Ovis aries: one gene and its partners. The protein of the gene in region 1 interacts with the protein of each later gene in a biochemical or structural test. Links are inferred from orthologs where the notes say so. Each region holds a gene or a part of one and is shown in the gene's direction. Other genes may lie near its edges.

What was found.
Region 2: the proteins of CLTC (region 1) and HIP1 form a complex in vitro, tested with the Homo sapiens proteins (3 studies listed by BioGRID). The link is inferred for Ovis aries from reciprocal best matches to the Homo sapiens genes CLTC and HIP1.
Region 3: the proteins of CLTC (region 1) and OCRL form a complex in vitro, tested with the Homo sapiens proteins (2 studies listed by BioGRID and IntAct, with this or other methods). The link is inferred for Ovis aries from reciprocal best matches to the Homo sapiens genes CLTC and OCRL.
Region 4: the proteins of CLTC (region 1) and CLINT1 form a complex in vitro, tested with the Homo sapiens proteins (2 studies listed by BioGRID). The link is inferred for Ovis aries from reciprocal best matches to the Homo sapiens genes CLTC and CLINT1.

What each region holds. Positions count from the first base shown.
Region 1 is NC_056064.1:10,285,192-10,290,249, forward strand, and holds the start of CLTC (clathrin heavy chain 1), read left to right. Parts: upstream 1-2,003; 5' UTR 2,004-2,241; coding exon 2,242-2,283; intron 2,284-5,058. UniProt on the Homo sapiens protein: Clathrin is the major protein of the polyhedral coat of coated pits and vesicles. Two different adapter protein complexes link the clathrin lattice either to the plasma membrane or to the trans-Golgi network.
Region 2 is NC_056077.1:34,460,620-34,465,458, reverse strand, and holds the start of HIP1 (huntingtin-interacting protein 1), read left to right. Parts: upstream 1-1,625; 5' UTR 1,626-1,646; coding exon 1,647-1,766; intron 1,767-2,341; exon of another isoform or gene 2,342-4,839. UniProt on the Homo sapiens protein: Plays a role in clathrin-mediated endocytosis and trafficking. Involved in regulating AMPA receptor trafficking in the central nervous system in an NMDA-dependent manner. Regulates presynaptic nerve terminal activity.
Region 3 is NC_056080.1:113,486,917-113,491,926, forward strand, and holds the start of OCRL (inositol polyphosphate 5-phosphatase OCRL), read left to right. Parts: upstream 1-1,796; 5' UTR 1,797-1,965; coding exon 1,966-2,004; intron 2,005-2,051; exon of another isoform or gene 2,052-2,278; coding exon 2,279-2,349; intron 2,350-5,010. UniProt on the Homo sapiens protein: Catalyzes the hydrolysis of the 5-position phosphate of phosphatidylinositol 4,5-bisphosphate (PtdIns(4,5)P2) and phosphatidylinositol-3,4,5-bisphosphate (PtdIns(3,4,5)P3), with the greatest catalytic activity towards PtdIns(4,5)P2.
Region 4 is NC_056058.1:67,029,510-67,034,368, reverse strand, and holds the start of CLINT1 (clathrin interactor 1), read left to right. Parts: upstream 1-1,645; 5' UTR 1,646-1,816; coding exon 1,817-1,857; intron 1,858-4,859. UniProt on the Homo sapiens protein: Binds to membranes enriched in phosphatidylinositol 4,5-bisphosphate (PtdIns(4,5)P2). May have a role in transport via clathrin-coated vesicles from the trans-Golgi network to endosomes. Stimulates clathrin assembly.

The sequences.
Region 1 (5,058 bases):
CCAGGCATTAATTTCTCTGCGTGATGACACAGCAGTCACTTTAGCAATCTCAGTGCACTTTTGGTTACATATTCCACACCAAATATCCAAACTAAAATCCATTGCTTTGTGGATTCTGACCGTATATTTAAAATTAGTGGTCTGTCTGAAAATGCAAGACTCTTATTAATAAAATTTTGGTTGCGGGTTCATATTATAGCTCATTTGTATCCCGGATTCTGAGACTGGAAATATAAGTTGATTAAAGCTACTGCTTTAACTGTATAATAGAGCAGCAACACTTTTAGATCTTTAATTTAGAATTTGCGTACTTCCAAAAAAGCTTCAAAGCAGCTCGTGTTTAAACTGGTTATTAGGTCATTTCAAATGCTGCAGAATACAGAACATCTTCAAGTATTTAGCTTAACAAAACATAATGAAATTTTGCCAACCATAAATATTCACTCTGATGACATGGTGGTGGGGCTTTTCTTGCAGAATAGTCTATCTGCTATTTTAACTGCCAAAGATTCTTTTCTCATTCTCAGTGTGTGAGATATACTTTGGGGGAAACATTAAAAGCAATTAAAATGATTAAGCAAATTTCTCTAAGTAAAACTGCTTGACACACAAAACTACTGTCTACCTAATAGGGGTTTTATGTTTAACTGAAAAGGGCATTAAAAATAATTGTGTACTTGAATAGTTCCTCAAGATCTTTCTGGAAAAAACATTACATCTCTCTCTTAAAATGAAAGGCACAGAACGAAAATTCTTTTATCCTTTATTGTATTTGTGCGGTTATGAAGCATCATTGTAGCTTATACTTAGCAACAAAGTACTGGGGAGGTTATTAACCGATACTGAATGCCGTAGACACCTTAACGCAGTGACAAGACACGATGCTTCAGCTTTGAGATACTTGTATTCCCAAACACAGCTAACTTACACACTGTTGAGGTGGTCCCACTGAAACACACCGCTAATGGTTAATTTCTTTCTCCAAGAGCGTATCTTACCCACGAGGAGGAAAAACCCAACTTTAACCTAAATCTTTGAGGCTCATTATTTGACATGGCTGAAAAAAAAGTCCTCCTGCTACTATTTCAGTCCTATTCTTGAGCGTATTTAGGACACTCAAAATCTCCAGCAAATTACTGAACTACACTCATAAACACGTCTGCCAAAATGTCCGCAGAAACGCTAAGAAAGGCCATCACAAGGCCTATTTGAGATACCTCATCAGTGGCCTTCACCGCCCTTTGAGTCAATTGTTTAACATCCGAAGAGACTATTAGCTCTGCTAGAATCCAAGCGTCAGCTTCTCCAACCGTCAGAAGGGCAGAGAGGATTTTAAACCCCATCAATGCCCCCTCCTTGGGATGTAACCACCACCCACCCACCACACGGAACCAGGCGGGGGAGGAGGGCAGCAGCCTACTGCCAAGCGCGCTCTGCAGGGAGGCCGTTTCCCTGAGTCACGGAGAGGGCGGGAGGCTGGGCCCATCTGCCCGTGCCACGTCCTCTTCTGAAAGGACTCGATTTAAACAAACAGGGCGCACAGGGGAAGGCAGCAGCACTACTATTCCTCAGGGCGGCCCAACAGCCACCTCATTCCCAGGAGACGCCGCACTTCCCCAGAACGCGCTCTGCATTCCGGCAGCAACCAGCCGACCTTTCCCGACCAGCGTCACGTGCACCCGGAAGTACGTGGGTGGGACCTAAAGCGCCCACGGAAATGACGTTGGTCGCCCCTAGTCGCATGATGTGGCAAAATGCAAAAAAAGGTGGTGGAGGGGGAGGGAAAAGCAGGCGGCTGGGGAAAGTGATGAGGCAAAAAAAGTAGTCCCTTCGATGCCTCTATTTATTGCAGTGTCGCAGCCGTCAGCGACTCCCTCGGCGCACTGCGCCCCGAATTCCTGCGCACCGCGGCACCGCGGCACTCCGTGGAGGGGTACATAAGGCGGAGGGGGGGTGAAGTAACTGGGGCGGAGTTCTGTTGCCGGGATCCCTCCGCAGGGCTCAGCCGTTTCCGGAGTCTGCGCTGCGCCCGGTTCCGCCATTGCGGCTCTCCTGGACCCTGGAGCCTCCGCCCCCGACCTGAGCTCTTTCGTCTGCCTGCCAGTTTCCTGCGTCCCCGGAGACTCTCCTGCTGAGCCCAGCCTCCCCCCTCCCCCCTTCTCCTCCTCTCCTTGGAGAGCCCGGGCAGCCACTGCCCCGCAGCCCCAGTGACAGGAGGAGACCATACCCCCCGACAGCGCCATGGCCCAGATTCTGCCAATTCGTTTTCAGGAGCATCTTCAGGTGCGGCGGGCCGGGGCTCCTGGGGGCTGTGGAGACGCGGGAGGTCAGAAGGAAGAAGCGGGAGTCTGAGCCCAAGCCCCAAAGAGTAGAATCGGAGAGGGGGGGTATCGGTTCCTGAGGTAGCCGGAGGACGGTGCACTGTCTTGGAAAGCTTAAAGGGTTAAATGATTGATGTGGGGCTTGGGTGGCGAGGAAGCGAGTCGAGATCCATAGGAAAGCGAGGCCACGCTGGGGTTTGAAGGCCTCTCTGTCTTCGCTTCCTGGATGGCGAGGACTGCGCATGATAAACCCTTCCACCCCCCGGTTTTATTCAGTTCATTCATTTGGGTTCGTGGAGCCGGGGACGGATGGAGTTGTGCGGTGGTGGTGATCTCCCGCGTTTCTTCCGGAGCAGGAATTCTCTTCTCCCAAGCCAGCGCAGGGCTGTCACTTCTCATTGCTCTCTCTCTCTCCCCTTTTCCCCCATCGTGCCTGCACCTAGGAGTTGTGGCGCGGGTGGGTTGGGGAGGAGCAAGCTTTTTTTCTTCCTCCCTCTGCGCCTCTCAGAGGGAAGGGCACCTTCCCCGGGGGTGGGGGGGACGACAGCAGCTCCTCTCTTGCCTTGCCCAAGGCAGTAGGAACACGGAAGGTCACTGAAGGAAAAGGAGGAGGATAGAAAGAGGGAATGTATTTATTAGTGTGGTGTCAATTTCAGAGTGCGTGGGGGGTTTGAGGGACTCGCCTTTTTTCACTCTCTCGATTTCTCTGCGAATGGTGCAGCTTTTATCCCCTCTTTGGTTCTAGAAAAGAGAAAGAGTTGTCCAGAGGTTATCGTGGGGTCTGCTGGAGGTTAGCAGGTAGTTGGCTTGGCGTGAGTACCTCCCTCAGGATTGCAAGGAATTGAATGAACCCTGGGGATATAGCACACTTGCCCTGAGATATGCGGGGTTATTTGGTCTGTAATTGGCTGCCTTTGGTAGGTTCTAGAGTTCTTCTCCATGGTGCAGTATCCTGTAGGCAACAGACTGTCTTATCTGGCAGCTTGCCCACGGCGGGCCCAGGCAGGTGATCTTTGGAGGACTTGACTGAATTAAGTCGTCTTTGGAGCTTCTGATTTTCCTGGTTCACCAATCCTTGTTTTACTTTGGCTGAAATAAATTTATTCATAAAGTATGTTTTCTTTCCAGTTACCTCCTTAAAGAGTCCTGCCTCCCCTCAATTATTTGAAGGACTAATTTGTAAATGATAAGAGATGCCAGTGGTTTGACATGACACTAATACTAGTGACCTGCTAGACACTTTATCATGGAATGCTGTTTACTTTCTGCCATTGTTATAACGTATATAAAGCCTTCTTGTATTAGGTTTAATATTCTGCCTGTCAACATAATTTCGTTTTTTACAGATTATCACCTTTGCTTGCATCAGCAAGACTTCTTTTCCTTTGTCTTGAAATATGAGTAATCTTTATTCAAAAAAATAAGTAATGTACTTTTATTCAGTCATTTTTGGTTTTCAGATAACTCATCCGATGCAATAGAACACTATTTGACAAAAGGTCAAAAAACGTTAAGTGATAGAATGGACCCAGAAATTATTGTTCATGCTCCATCCAAATTTTTATTGCTGTGGTTACTATTGTTGAATGTGAAGGGTTAGGAAAATGTTTTTGAGTATGAAGGGAAAACACACCCTTGTCCTCACACTGAACTGCTTCTGGAATATAATCTTCCTGCAGACAAAAGTATGTAAAATCATACACAAGAAAAGCAGTTAGCAATTGCTGTTTGCTTTACAAAACAGAGGCATATCCCACTAGTAAATCTTGTTTCTTGACTAGTGGTAGTTTGAGCAATAGTTTTTTCATTTCTGTTAATGAAGAAACAAGATTATTGAATAATTCCAAAGGTTGGACTCCAACCTTGTCACTAACTGAAGACACATTTAGTATGGGTCTTCTTTCTAAGTGGTTCATAGTTTTTGCAAATACTTGAGTGAGGCTGTCTTCTCAAATACTTTGAAGAGTTGAGTGTAAAGTAGCTATGCAAATATACTGAAAGAATTCAGTCTTTCAGTTTTTGGAGTAGTATATATATCCCATGCCTAAGCTTAAGCTTGCTATAGTGACTGTATACTAAGGATTATTTTAATTGGCATCTTAGGTCTTTGACCTCTGAGCCCCTGCCAGTTTGCTAAGTAGCAAAAACTTTATGAAACACTTAAGATAATAATTGGGAAGAATTGAGGAACTTGAGTGTAGCATTAACCTGTGAAAGCTTCAAAGGGTGAACTTGAAATGAATTTATTTTTATACCATCTAACTGCTTGGACCAACCAAAGGGTCTGTCATCAAGGGTTTAGAACTACATTAGATGAACATTAATATTTTAAGTTACAAAGTTTTTTTTTCTTTTTTAAGATGTTTAGGCCGATAGCAGTGAACAGATGAGTGCCTAGTTGAACAAGATTTTGTTAGAATTGCAGGTTCTGAAAAAAATCCTAGGCTGTGTATAGAGTTGCCTGCAGTTATCATTTCTTAGCTCATTTAGTATCTTTATGCTGATTGACACATTCTGCTGTGTTCCCAGGTTTTTGGGGTCTGAATTAAAAATCTCCCAACCCTGTTCTTTTCCCTTTGATCCATAAATACAGGCATGGAATGTGGGAGTTCTTGATAATGGTTATTTTGATTTGCAAAGAGTAAGCAGTGCTGAGTTACTGGGATATGTTATATGCTTAACTCTACTACCTGGGAGAGTCATAGTGCCTAGAATTATGTGGCAGTCTACTCTAGGA
Region 2 (4,839 bases), on another chromosome or scaffold:
GAAGACTCTTGAGAGTCCCTTGGACTGCAAGGAGCTCCAACCAGTCCATCCCAAAGGAAATCAGTCATGAATATTCATTGGAAGGACTGATGCTGAAGCTGAAACTTCAATACTTTGGCCACTTGATGCGTAGACCTGATTCATTTGAAAAGACCCTGATGCTGGAAAAGACTGAAGGCAGGAGGAGAAGGGGACGACAGAGAATGAGATGGTTGGATGGCATCACCAACTCGATGGACCTGAGTTTGACTAAGCTCTGGGAGTTGGTGACAGACAGGGACGCCTTGCCTGCTGCAGTCCATGGAGTTTCAAAGAGTCCCACCCGACTGAGCGACTGAACTGACTGATTCACAGAACCTCCCACAGGATTGAACTCTCTCCTGGCTTGCTAGTGGAGGCCCTCGTGGGCTCTCACCTACTGCCGGAGTCTCCCCATTGGTTCCCTTCCTTCCCGTCGCCCCCAGAATCCCATCCACACGATGCCAGCTGGCAAAGCCGTCAGAGGCTCCCCAGTGCCTACATAGGCCCACCCCCTCTTCTGCTTCTCTATTGAATGTGTGAATTTTTATCAAAAGCTCTTAGTCAAAAAAAAAAAAAAAAAAGTAACGCCTTTCTTTACTTTGAGTTGCAAAAAGCATTTATTTTTAAAACATCAAAATTGGCATTTGAACAGAAAACTTTTAACTTTCTTCAGCATCTCGGCTAAGGATCTTACTTCCACCCCCTTCCATCCCCCCTACGCCTGTCGTCAGTACCTTGGCTGACGACGGAGCAGGATGGGAGGGGTGTCCCAGAGCCGGGGATAAATATTAAAATGTCCACATGGGTTTCTACCAACGAATACATCCTGACCAGATCCAGAGGGTGAGAGGTTTGTAAAGGTGTCGAGAAGTTTCCACTGACCCAGCCCAGCGCTCCCTGGTCTGCGAACATTACAAAAGGGATGGGCAGGGATTCGGGGCAGGGGCAGGACGAGGGAGAAGGCGGTGGGAGCCGCTACCCACGCCGGCCAGGTCTGCGACCCGCTGAACCAACCTGCGGAGGCCCGGCCTCAGGGCAAGCGCATCCTGGGACAGGGGCCGCCGAGCTGGTCCATCGCGCGCGCTCTTGTCTCCGGCCCGAAAAGAGTTAACAGGCCAGTCCCACGCGGGCCCGGATTCCCTGCGGCAGGCCCAACTCACCGCCAGCTTGACCCCCGCCCACCAACCAAGCCGGGACCTCGCGGCGCCCGGGGTGGGGTGGGGGGACTGGGAGAGTGCGGCTCGCTGGGAGCTCGCGGGTGCAGCCAGCGGCTGGGAGAGCCGCGCTCTGGGCGTCGGGGAAGGGGCGGGCTAGGGCAGGTCAGGCCCGCCCCCGCCAGGGGCGGTGGAGGCCGGTGACCGACAGGCCTCCGGGCCCGTCCCGGCGCGCCTGACGGTCCGGAGCGCCCTGCAGGGTAGGGCCGGGGCGGGGGCTCTGGAGAGGGCGGGGGCGGACGGGGAAGCCTCTGGGCTGGGGCGGGGCCTCGGCAGAGTAGCAGCGCTCTCAGCCAATGGGAGGCGGGCGCCTTCCCGTTAGCGCCGGATCCCAGTGGATAGGGAGGGGCGGGCGGCGCCGTGGGGATCCCGGGGCGGCTGAGGGCCCCTGACTCGGCTCCGCGCGGCGACATGGACCGGATGGCCAGCTCCATGAAGCAGGTCCCCAACCCCCTGCCGAAGGTGCTGAGCCGGCGTGGGGTTGGCGCGGGGATGGAGGCTGCGGAGCGGGAGAGCTTTGAGCGGACTCAGGTGAGGACCGGGGCGGGGTGGGGGACACCCCCGGTCGTGCACGGCTGGGGCATCCCGCAGTGTCCTGGAGGGGACTCGAAGGGAGTAGGGATCTTGCAGGCCCAGGGAAGGACTGAGCAAGGGGGCATCTGGTGCGGTGGTCAAGGCGGTCTGGGAAGGTCGGGGACCCCGGGGCCATCCCGGCTGGCCTGGGGGAGAGGGCAGGGCGGCTCTGAGCAGCTGGCACGGTCCGCGCGGTGCGACCGACTGGAGCCGGTCCCGGCGGGGCAGGGCAGGGGTCACGGGGGCGGTGAGAGGGGAAGGAACGCGAAAAGGGGGCCGAATGGAAGGGGTGCCCCTAGCTGGGGAAGGTCCCTGGCGGGGGGGGGGTGGCGCTGGGGGTCGCAAGTGTGGCTGCAGAGAGTGGGGCGCTGAGTCGGGAATGTGAGGGCTGGGGCGCCCTGTACTCTCCGCTCGATCACTTCAGGACTGCGTTGACATTCCCCCCGTCCCTAGCATCCCCTTCCTTGTGCCTCTAGCTTGGCTCACGCCAGCCCCCAGCTGTCGGCCTCGGAGGACCGGACTGAAGGGGTCTGAGCCCGGAGGAAGGAATGTAGGAAATGCGGTGTGTGGCCGAGTTTGGAAGATGACCGGGGGCTGGAGGAGGGGGCCGGCCCAAGGACAGATATTGAGGGTCCTGGACCAGTGGCCCCGATTCGGGTCAAGTTGGGTTGTTCTGGGGTGCCCAGAACCCTGAATCGGGGTTTTGATTTCATCCCCCTAAATGTGCCTGACAGCTAATAGGCAGCCTGCCCTAAATTGTCCAGCCTGAGCAGGGCTAGGGGCCAAAATTCCTCACTGTCATCAACAAAAAGCCACAATCCATTTTTACCTCAGAGTTTTAATGCCTGGTGTATTGATTGGACTGAATAAAGCTGACATGTTTATGGTGTTCATCGGCTGGTTTGTATGCAAAATCCATTTCGAAGGGCACAGCACTTCTTTTAATCCCACTGCTGAAGTTGTATGGGCAAGTTTGTTCCTCACTCGCGCTCACTCTTGCTCTCGGAGTGAAACCTTTGAAGAGCCAGGGGGCTTCCGCTGCCAGAAGCTGGTTCTCCCGTTCTGTTCTGCTCCCCACCGCCCTCCCCAAACTTAGTACCATGTGAAGGAAGGGCAGTGGGGTTTTAGATAAAGATTGTGAGGTCCTGATCGAGTGTTCCATGTAGGGAATCTTGCAAAGAAGGAAACTTTTCATGAAAACCCAGGAGACTAATTCCTCTTCTTTTTCCAGGCACCTCTGGCCCTTCACAGGTGTGTCCAGGTGGTGTAAAGTAGGCAGTGTCCCCTCCCTAGGTCATCATTCTACCCCACACGGGATGGGAGAGAAGGCTCTTTACTTCTCTCTCCCAGGGTCTGGCTGGGTTTAAGCTTTATTTTCTAATTCTGTGGATTGGACCCCAGAAAGGAAGGAAGATGCTTGTCTGCTATGGGCATTATGCCCTCGTCTAGCTGCCTGGGCACACAAGGCTTCTTGCTCCAGGAAACAGTGTAAATCTTTCTTGTAATGGACAAGGAAAATAAATGGTAATTCATTCCTTTTAGAGTCTCCAGTAAAAACTGGAGCAATAGAGAAATACACATAAGAGTTTGACCCATTATAGTGATGGAAATTAGGTTTGTGAAAGTTTCTCTAGCTATCCAGGGACGTCCCAACAAGGAGAGTCTAGGTCAGTGTTAGGCAGTATCTTACATTCTGTGGGGCACTGATAATTGGCCAGATTTGAGCTAGTGGCGTGTGTGTGTGTGTGTGTGTGTGTGTGTGTGTGTGTGTGTGTGTGTGTAAGGGAGGTAGAATGAATCAGGAAAAGAGTTTCTGTGTTGTTGAAACTATTAGGGCAATAAGAGAGTGAAGAAAAGGAAAGAGAACAATTCTAAAAACCTCACCTTAGTCAATCTGCAAAAATGTGTATTGTTTAATGACTACTTACCCAATGTATGTGTGTGTTAGTCACTCAGTCGTGTCTGAATCTTTGCTACCCCATGGACTGCAGCCTGCCAGGCTCCTCTGTCCACAGAATTCTCCAGGCAAGAATACTGGAATGGGCAGCCATTCACTTCTCCAGGAGATCTTCCCAACCCAGGGATCGAACCCTGGTCTCCCTCATTGCAGGCAGATTCTTTACAGTCTGAGCCATATGAACATGAGTTATAAAAAAAATTTAATGAGTTAAGAGACCATGGAATCAGTGAAGGTGGGCGGATGATTGTAACTAATTATGTTTGGCACTTTTCTGAGTACTTTATTGTATCACCTTCTTTAATTTCAGTAAAGTACTGTGAGGTGATATTGACAAGGACCTATGAGGTGAGTATCAACCACATTTTATCTGGAGGAAATTGAGGCACAGAGAAGTTAAGTAACTTGCCCAAGGTCAGACAGCATGTTGTGATCCCAACCTTTAACCACAGCTCTGTGTGGCTTCTGAGTACTGGGCCGAGCACTGGTATGGGAACTGGAAGAGGCTGAAATTTGATAGCCAGGCACATGGAGGGGCTGTGGTCCCAGGCAAGTTTTCCAGCTTTTCTTAGCCTTGGGTTCCTTATTGCAAAATAAGGATACTACTTACCTCACAGGTTGATTATGGGAGACTAGATTAAATAATATACCTGGAGGCATTTTGTAAACTGGAGAGCACTGTGGCGATGATGATTGCTATAATCTGAGGAGGAGAGGGGACCAGAAAAAAGGCCAAGTACTGGGGCAGGCTGTGATGAACTGTTCAGTAGAGGGACAGAAGTGTTCCTGGTTAATGCAGTGATTACCAGGAGTGATTGCTTAAAGTCCAGGCTGTTAGGGTGCGAAGCGGGTGGGAGCCCTGCGAGGTCTGAACCCCATCCTTCAGCCTGAGCCAGCACTTGCTGGGGAGAGAGGAGGGATGGGGCATTCCAGGAGAAAAGGTATGGTCTGGAGGCGGGTGTAAATGAGATTCATCAGTTAAGGTGGACAGAGCAGAATAGGCTCCTCCCACCTCCAAACGCCTTGCACCTGCTCCCTGTCCTGTCCCCGCTTCCCTGTGACCCCCAGCACCCC
Region 3 (5,010 bases), on another chromosome or scaffold:
GTCAGTCTTGATATATAGTTCATCATAGAGTCTTGTGAAGAAGGCAATGAGCACACCACTCCAGTACTCTTGCCTGGAAATTTCATGGATGGAGGAGCCTGGTAGGCTGCAGTCCATGGGGTCGCTAAGAGTCAGACACGACTGAGCAACATCACTTTCACTTTTCACTTTCATGCATTGAAGGAAATGGCAACCTACTCCAGTGTTCTTACCTCGAGAATCCCAGGGACAGGGGAGCCTGGTGGGCTTCCGTCTATGGGGTCACACAGTCAGACACGACTGAAGCAACTTTGCAGCAGAAGCAGCAGCAGCATAGAGTCTTGAACAAAAGAATCAGTTCAGTTCAGTTCAGTTGCTCAGTCGTGTCCGACTCTTTGTGACCCCATGAATCACAGCACGCCAGGCCTCCCTGTCCATCACCAACTCCCAGAGTTTACTCAAACTCATGTCCATAGAGTCAGTGATGCCATCCAGCCATCTCATCCTCTGTCGTCCCCTTCTCCTCCTGCCACTAATCCCTCCCAGCATCAGGGTCTTTTCCAATGAGTCAACTCTTCGCATGAGGTGGCCAAAGTATTGGAGTTTGAGCTTTAGCATCAGTCCTTCCAATGAACACCCAGGACTGATCTCCTTTAGAATGGACTGGTTGGATCTCCTTGCAGTCCAAGGGACTCTCAAGAGTCTTCTCCAACACCACAGTTCAGAAGCATCAATTCTTTGGTGCTCACCTTTCTTCACAGTCCAACTCTCACATCCATACAAGACCACTGAACAAAAGAATAACACAACTGAAACATTACTCTAGGAAGAATATTCTTATGACTGTCAACAGAGTAAAATGGTCAAATGAGATATCACAAGGGCTTACACTCCAGTGATGGCAGTGTGAATGGCAAGAAAACAAAGAATCTAAAAGTAATTCCAAAGAACATATTAATAAGATTTGTTGGCTGATTGGATACGGAGCAATCAGGAGAGCAAGCATATGGGGCTTCCCAGGTGCATGCATGCTAAGTCGCTTCAGTCGTGTCTGACTCTCTGCAACCCTATGGACTCTAGCTTGCCAGGCTTCTCTGTCCATCGGGATTCTCCAGGCAAGAATGCTGGAGTGGGTTGCCATGCGCTTCTCCAGGGGATTTTCTCGACCCAGGGATCAAACCTGCGTCTCTTCCATCTTCTGCTTTGGCAGGTGGGTTCGTTACCACTAGCGCCGCCTGGCAATGCAGGAGACACAAGCAAGCACATGGCTTTGAAATGTCAAACCTGCATCGCTGTGTGAAATAACCGTGGGTTTTTGTCATCCAATGTTTTGCCAACAATGAGTTATATTAGGCAAGGGATGTGGGCCAGGGATAATACATTTGGTGTTTGCCTGCTTACAAGTGAGCTTAAAGGGGGACAGAGAAAGCAAAGGTATGATCTCTGGGGATTTTTCCGATTTAGGGGGTGGAAGGATGGAGTGAGGTGGGAGGACATCTGAGCGGTAGGTCCAGCACGGTCCATTCTGTTAACCATAATAAGGATATTTTGAATGGAGGATGTGGGTCCTAGTGGCCCCAACACCTTTGAGTTATTTGATGGGTATGACTGTACTTTGTTTCTATGGCAACCTTCAAAGTCCCCCAAACAAGTCTGGCGTCACAGACAGCCTTGAAAACTTATCCCTTGCTGGACGTGGGGGAGACGCCCCCAGTCCGTCGGGTTGGCCTGCAGTTCCGCAGCTTGGCCGCAGGGGGCGGAATCTGCGGCGGCCTGGAAAACTGGCGGGGGTGGGAGGCGCCGCTCTCTCTCGGGTCAGGCTCCCGGCTCCCGGCTCTGGGCTCCAGGCTGCGGGCTGCCCGCGCCCAGCACGGAGCTGTTTCTCTAAGGACGCGCAGCCGAGGCTGAGGGGTGTGAGGACGCGGGAGGCAGTATCGTCGGATCAGCCCGCAGTCCGCAGCCCCGCCGAGCCTGGAAGCCGCCGGGATGGAGCCGCCGCTCCCGATTGGAGCCCAGCCCCTTACTGTATCCGCCTGAGAGAAGGGGGAGGGGAGGCCGCGCAGGGCGGGGGTGGGGGTCCGCGGGACTGCGGATCGCGGCGGAGGGGCTGCTAGGGGGCAATCGGGCCCCAAAGCCGAGCCGAGCGGGAGAGGGGGGCCAGCGCGGGAGGCGCTGCCTCGGACGCTGGGGAGGAAGGGTGGGCAGAGGGGCAGGAGCCTCTCGCCACCCTGCACCTCGGGTCCCCTCCTGGGCCGCGCTTGTAGAGAAGACCCTTGACTAGCGCCCGCATACTATCGAGGGTATGGAGATGAAGGGTCCTCTCCGGGAGCCCTGCGCGCTGACCCTAGTCCAGAGGAACGGGCAGTATGAGTAAGTAACCACCTGATACCCACAAAGGAGGGGAGCCTGCCATTACCTCCCAACCCCAAACCGCGACAAGCCACGCACCGTCCTCCCACTGAGGCCACGTGGGCAACAGGTTCGGCCCGGGTGTGAAGTGCCAGTGCTCTAACCACCTGGCTTTCTCCCCAAGTTTGCTCTGGCCTGTGGCTCAGGAAAGGGCTCAATGGGCAGGCAAGCAGGAAGCCTGGGTTCTTAGTTCCTGCCCCTGCAACTGACATGGGTTGTGTAATCCTGGGCTGGTCAATAAAGCTTTCTGGGTCTTAGTGTCCTCATCAGTTTAATAAAAACATGAACTGCCTTACCTTATAGCCTTTGGAGTTAACTGAGAGAATAATAAATATGAAAGTGGTTTACAAAGAAGTAAAAGTGTTGTAAAAACGCTTCATTGTTAACCTTCTCTTAATCTCATTCAACTGGTTCCTCCAGTCTCCCACCCCTTTATTCCATTTGCTTGAAGGCATATTCATTAATTCAGTCATGATTTTGTGTAGGCCAGTAACTGTTTCACTTACTGACTTGACTGCTAGAAAAAGTAATGACATGTATAGAAATGTAAACGACTTTTGGCCTTTCATCAGGGTGTGTTACCTCCCACTCTGCCTTGGACATAAGAGCTCAGTAAAGACTGTTGACTGGTTGATCAAAAGATTTTGATAAGCCATCACTATAGCTGCTGATCTCATTTCCTTGCCACTAATGTTTCATCTAAAGTATCTCTGATGACTATCCTATATAGGTAGGTCCCTATCCCTTTATGCCCCAGCCACCGCCCCTAGTTGTTGGCTGGTTTCTTGACATCAGTGAAGAATTGTCAATCACTTAAATCCTGCCATCCCCCAACAATGAATTCTGCTTAAAAACAACTTTTTTCAGCCCCTGCCTTTAGATTGTCCAGATTCAATCTTTGTCTATGCTGTCTAGTTTACAGAGAAGAAATTTCCATTAGCCTAGCCTGCCCTATTCTGAAACTCTTGGTGCCATTCAAACTGGATGTCAGCTGGTTCTATGGAAGTAGCTCTTCCCTAGATTCTGGTTGGTCAGTTCTGTTGATGTGATAAGTTCATTTTATTTTTCCCAGATTTCATCAAACTGGAAGACCAGTTTAATGAAAGTAAATTCAACAGAAAAGTGAATTGAAAAGTGGAACACCAGTACCACTTCCAAAGGCAAGAATAGAATGGGAAGATGTGAACCTTGGGCAAACCATTAAATTTTTTGTGCCTCGGTTTCCTCTTCTTTAAATTATGAGGATTAAATAAAAATAGCTACAGTGTTGAGATGACCACATCCCAGGATCTGGTCCCTTGGTTCTGTAGGTTTGGAACTGTTCGGCTGATAAGGGAACAAGCGGCTGGCCTTGAGAGAAACACCTCTTTCTATCTGGTCTCATATACTGGAAGCACTTTTAAACTTGCAGTGGTAGCTCTCCTGATTATTTTTATCTTCCCCCCTAGAGAAATCAAATTCTATGTTACAGTTCTGTATAAGTTATGAGTATAACACAAGTCACACTCAATGGCTTGATGTGTGTCAGGTACTCTTCTAAGCACTTGCATGAATTAGTTCATTTAACTCTCATGTGAGGATTGCTGTGAAATTGTAATATTATCATCGTCATCCCCTTTTCCTTGGTGTAGAAATGGAGGTTTAGAGAGGTTAAGTCATTTGTTCACAGTCAGGAAGTAACATAGCTGAGATTTAAAGCCATATAACATCTCAGAATTACATCATATCTGAGAAGTTTCTTTTGAAATCATTTATTGGAGACATTACATTATTGGAGACACCTCATACTGTCAAATCATCTGTATAATCCGTGTCTTTTGGGTGCCTTCTTTAGTTTTGTAGTTCCTGCTGTTAACCATAGGAGAAATTTACTTGAGAGACTAAAATTACAATTGAAAATGACTTTATTGCACACAAGGAATCAAACACTGACATTCTTTTTTTTCAAGGTAAATAGATTATGATGCAACCTGTTGTTTCATCTTTAACCTTCCTTAAACAAATCAGAGTATTTCCTAGGGAAATATTTGTGGACTTGACTTGAATTCCCAGCTTATGTTTTTTGATTTTGGGGGGGGTGGGTCTCATTTCTTTTTTAAATTGATATTTATAACATTATGTTAGTTTCAGGTGTACAATATAATGACTTGATATTTGTATACACTTTAAAATGATCACTACCATAAGTCTTTTTCTGTCTTTGTGCCACGTGGTATGTGGGATCTTGTTTCCGGGGCTAGGGATTGAACCTGTACCCCCTGTATTGGAGGCACAGAGTCTTAACCACTGAATTGCCAGAGAAGTTCCTTCAACATTTTTTTTCTTTTGATGAGAACTTTTAAGACATATTCTCTTAACAACTTTCAAATATACAGTACATTATTATAAACTATAGTCATCATGCTATACATTACAGCCTCAGGACTTAACTATTTTCTAGCTGGACATTTGTACCTGTTGACCCCCTTCACCCATTTCACCCACCCACCCCCATGCTCTGCCTCTAACAGCTGCCAATCTGTTCTCTGGGTCTTTGAGTTCAGTATTTGGGGGTTTTGTTTTTCTGTTTCACACATGAGATCATATGGTATTTGTCTTTCTCTGTCTGCCTTCTTTCATTTA
Region 4 (4,859 bases), on another chromosome or scaffold:
GGATTTTCGAGGCAAGAGCACTGGAGTGGGGTGCCATTGCCTTCTCAAAGACACCCTAAATATTCCCTAATACTATTTTCCTCTAACATCATTCTCTATAATATTATCTTCTGTTTTCTTCAAGCACTTTCTATCAGCAATTATCTTAAATGTTCCCTCAATTACTATGTTTTCCTCCAAAGACCTTTAAGATCCAAGAGAGCTGAGGCCTTGCCTGTCTTCTTCCCAGCTGGGTTCTCCACTCCTTCAGTTCAGTTCGGTTCAGTCACTCAGTTGTGTCCAACTCTTTGTGACCCCACGGACTGCAGCACACCAGGCCTCCCTGTCCACCACCAGCTCTCAGCGTTTACTCAAACTCATGTCCACTGAGTCAGTGATACCATCCAACCATCTCATCCTCTGTCATCCCCTTCTCCTTCTCCACACTCCTGGCACATAGAAAATATTCAATAAAAATTTGTAGAATGTAAAGAACTGTAAAATTTAAGCAGTTTGACCAAATGAACTTTAAGAGTGTTTGTGGCTCTAACATGAACATTGTCAAAAAATAAGTAAGTGAAAAATAAAGTGACAATAATCATTGCAATAAAACAATGAATGCAGCATAGATGTATATCTACACTTTGAGAATATACACGTGTCAGCTTCTTGGGCCCGTCCTAATGTCCTGGTGTTGTTTTTCTACAATTTCCCATGGAGTGTGAACTGAGGTTCTGAACTTTATAGTAAGTATCTAACAAGGATATTAAGTATCTGTCTAAATATAAGAGCACTGTATGGTAGAATTAGAATGGAATAGGTTTTAAGACACAGCCTTTTCAATGTACAAGGATGGAAACTAAAGCCCAGGGAAGGAAGTATATTTGGGCATTTGGAACCAACTACAGAATTACTTCTGTCAATGAGGAGTACATATGCCAATTATACTTCTTATAGTCATCGCGTGCATGCTGTCACTTCAGTCGTTTCCGACTCTGAGATCCTATGGACTGCAGCCTGGCAGGTTCCTCTGTCCATTGTTGTTGCTCAGCCACTCAGTCGTGTCCGACTCTTTGCGACCCCATCGACTACAGCACACCAGTCTTCCCTGTCCTTCACCATCTCCTGGAGCTTGCTCAAACTCATGTCTATCGAGTTGGTGACGCCACTCAACCGTCTCATCCTCTGAATTCCCCTCCTCCTCCCGCCTTCAATCTTTCCCAGCATCAGGGTTTTTTCTAATGAGTCATTTCTTCGCATCAGGTGGCCAAAGTATTGGAGTTTCAGCTTCAGCATCAGGCCCTCCAATGAACATTCAGGACCGATTTCCTTTAGGACTGACTGGTTGGATCTCCTTGCAGTCCAAGGGACTCTAAAGCGTCTTCTCCAACACCACAGTTCAAAAGGATCAATTCTTCGGCTCTCAGCTTTCTTTACGGCCCAACTTTCACATCCATACATCCATACATGACTACTGCGGAGGGGTGCGGAGAATCCAGAGAGCTCTTTTACCGAAGAATCCTAACTTTAGCTTTCCTCTGAAACTCTCAGCCTAATTTGGCGCACAGAGAACTACAAGTCCCAGCGTGCCCCGTGCGCAGCGGGCGGAAAGTCAGGCACTTCCGCCCCACGCAGCGCCTCTGCCCCCGCGTCTCGACGTGTCACTGGCGGCGCCGCGGCTGTGGCAAGAGAAGGAGCTGACTGGGGGAGTTTGAGGCGGCGGGCGGCGGCGGCGACAGCGGCAGCGACCCCGGCCTGGATCTGCCCCGGCGCGGAAGTGTTCCGGGGTCCGTGGCGTACAGGAGAGGGAGGTGGAGGCCCGGCCCGCTCGGGCAAGATGTTGAACATGTGGAAGGTGCGGGAGCTGGTGGACAAAGCGTGAGTATCGGGGGGCAGTTGTGGCCGAGGCCCACGCGGGGGAGGGGCGGGGGGAAAGGGGAGCCGGTTCTGCGCTCCGGGCCGGCCGCGTCACGCCCCCCAGATGGGCCGGCCCTATCATGGCGGCGGGCGACTCTTCTCGACCCGGGCCCGCGTCCCGATCCGCCAACCGAAGGGACCTTTTCTCTGTCGAAACATCTTAGTCCCCTTATCTCCTATCCAGGCCTTCCTCACCCTGCAGCTACCCCACCCCTCTAGGCGCGGACACTTTGATCAGGGGCGGGGGAGGGTTGTCTCAAGCTGGGTCACTGCCCTGGCCGGAGAACTGTCTTGGCCCCTGGCTTTTGGTCTTTGGCTCCTGGGCAGCAGTGAAAGCTTGAGGGTGGGGAAACTTACTTCAGTGGCTCCCTGTGCTCCTCAGCGGTTGTAGAGACCTTAGGCCTGGTTGGGATGTGTCCTTTACCTTGCTGAGCTGCTTTTAATTCCTAATGAGCCTGAGGTATTGTAGTGGGTGGTAGGTGTAACAAGTGGTCATTGTGGTCAGACTGAAGTTACTCAAGACTCTCTCCTTTGCTTTTCTAACACTAGTGAGAGTGGATCACCGTGTAACTTACTGTGATTCCTTTCCTCTATTTCTTTTTCCACTACATTTCATTTTTGGAGGGCCATTTGTTCCATTTGGTTTAGTTAACTAATCATTGAATTAACAAGAAATGGCTCCTAAAAAGGAAACAACCAAGGTTTATATCCTGTTGATCTGCTTGTAAGTACAGACAGGTAAAATGACTAATGCATAGCTGATACTCTTTAAGATTTAAGTGATCACTTTAGTATGTTACTACCCTAGGGAAACCTTAACATTTATATTGAGTGTATCATATAGATTAAAACAGTGGTTAAGTAAGGTCTTCTAGAACAGCAGGAAGTAAAGTTTAAGAATTTAACTAGTCCCCTTCTTTTCAGGTTTTAGTGATGATATAATAAGTAATGGCAAAAACAGTTCATTTGTGCCGCTCATCCGATCTAAAATCAGGAAGTGAGGATGGCAAATTCTTGGCTTTCTTGAACCTCCCAAAAAATAACTTATTGTAAACTGCTATGTATAAAATAAATTAGATCCAAGCATATAATGTACAGCATAGGAAATACAGCCACCATTTTATAATAACTATAAACAGTATAATCTGTTAAATTATCAAATTACTGTTTGTACACCTGAAACTAATAAATCAACTATACTTCAGTAAGAAAAAATTCAGTGGCTTGGATAATGCATCACATAGAATTTACAGTTCGACTGTATTTTCAAGTTTTCTGTGCTATCGAGAACGCAGTAGAATGCCTGAGGAGCACAGATTTCTGAACCTGCAGAGCTGGATTCAAGCTCTGTAACCTTGGCAAATTACTTAACTTTGAAGTGTCCCAGTTTTCTCAGGTGAAATATGAAAATAGTGATGAATATTTACCTTAGAATGTTGTGAGAATTAAGGGCGAAGAACTTAAATAGCGTATAAAGGCCATAACGCAGTAAGTTTAGATCAGTATGCTTTTGATAATTATAGCTCATGTTCTACATCAAGAGTAATATTAAAATTCGTTAAGAGAAAAGATCCATGTTTGAAAAGTGATTTGGTGGTTTTGCTTTGTCAACCATTTATTTGACCATTAAGTCCTTGGTCCTTTATTTTGGTTTTGTTTTGCTATTTATATATCCTTTGCTTTCCAAAGGTAAAAATAAAATCATGTTTGTTTTTTTAATCCAAGTTTATTGGTGTAAAGGCTACTAGCTTAAACAGTCTTTGAAGATCCAAAAATCTCTACAAAACTATTTCTTAACCAGAGGTCGGTGGAAGAAAAATCACTAAAAAAGCACCTTCTTACCTTAGGGGACTAAATTTGTGGTACTCAAAAATTTGAAGACAAGGTACACTTTTTCAGGAGACAAATCAAGGCAATATTCTTGCTCTTGTTCTTTTCATGTTGTTGTTCTCACCTTTGTTACTAAGTTTCAAGTACCTCAGATTAAATTTGTCACATAAATAGCTATCAAGTCAATCTAATGGAAGAGCTGCTGTTGAAAAATGACTTCAGTCTTCCTTTTTACTACCCAAATAAGAATGGAAACCTGGGGATTTCCCTGGTGGTCCAGTGACAAAGACTTGGGGCTTCAGTGCAGGGGGCCCGGCCGGGTTCCATCCCTGGTCAGAGAACTAGATCCCACATGCAGCAACTAAGACTGCTGCTGCTAAGTTGCTTCAGTCATGTTCAACTCTGTGCGACCCCATAGACAGCAGCCCACCAGGCTCCTCTGTCCCTGGGATTCTCCAAGCAAGAATATTGGAGTGGGTTGCCATTTCTTCCTCCAGTTCATGCATGCATGCTAAGTCTCTCCAGCCATGTCTAACTCTCTGCAGACCTATGGCCAGTAGTCCACCAGGCTCCTCTGTCCACAGGACTCTCTAGGCAAGCAACTAAGACTAGGTGCAGCCAAATAAGTATCTTAAAAATTTTTAAAGAGAATGGAAATTTAAACCAAGTTACTCAAGAACATGTAAAATGTTGCCACCAAGGACTTTTTAAAAAACTTTCAGTGGTGTCTGACACATATTAGGATTAGAACATGAGGTTATTTTACTGATGAGTACTTAATTTTCATCTTTCACTGGCAGAAAAGAAATAGTTCTTCCTCCCCAAATACAAACATTTTACAAAACCAGTACCTGTGGCATTATGCCCATTTAGACTGTTCACCTTTAATTGCCATAATGGAAGTGAAACAGATCCATAGAACAGCTATTCAGATTATCAAGGGAATAAGGTGATGAGGAAACTTGCAAAAGAGGAAATAATAAAGTGATTAAGGACTGCTCTGAGAGCTGTGTTGAATAGAAATGAGGCTTTATATGATATAGCACTGAATCACTTTTCTCTTTCATGCATTGGAGAAGGGAATGGCAACCCACTCCAGTGTTCTTGCCTGGAGAATCCCAGGGACGGGAGAG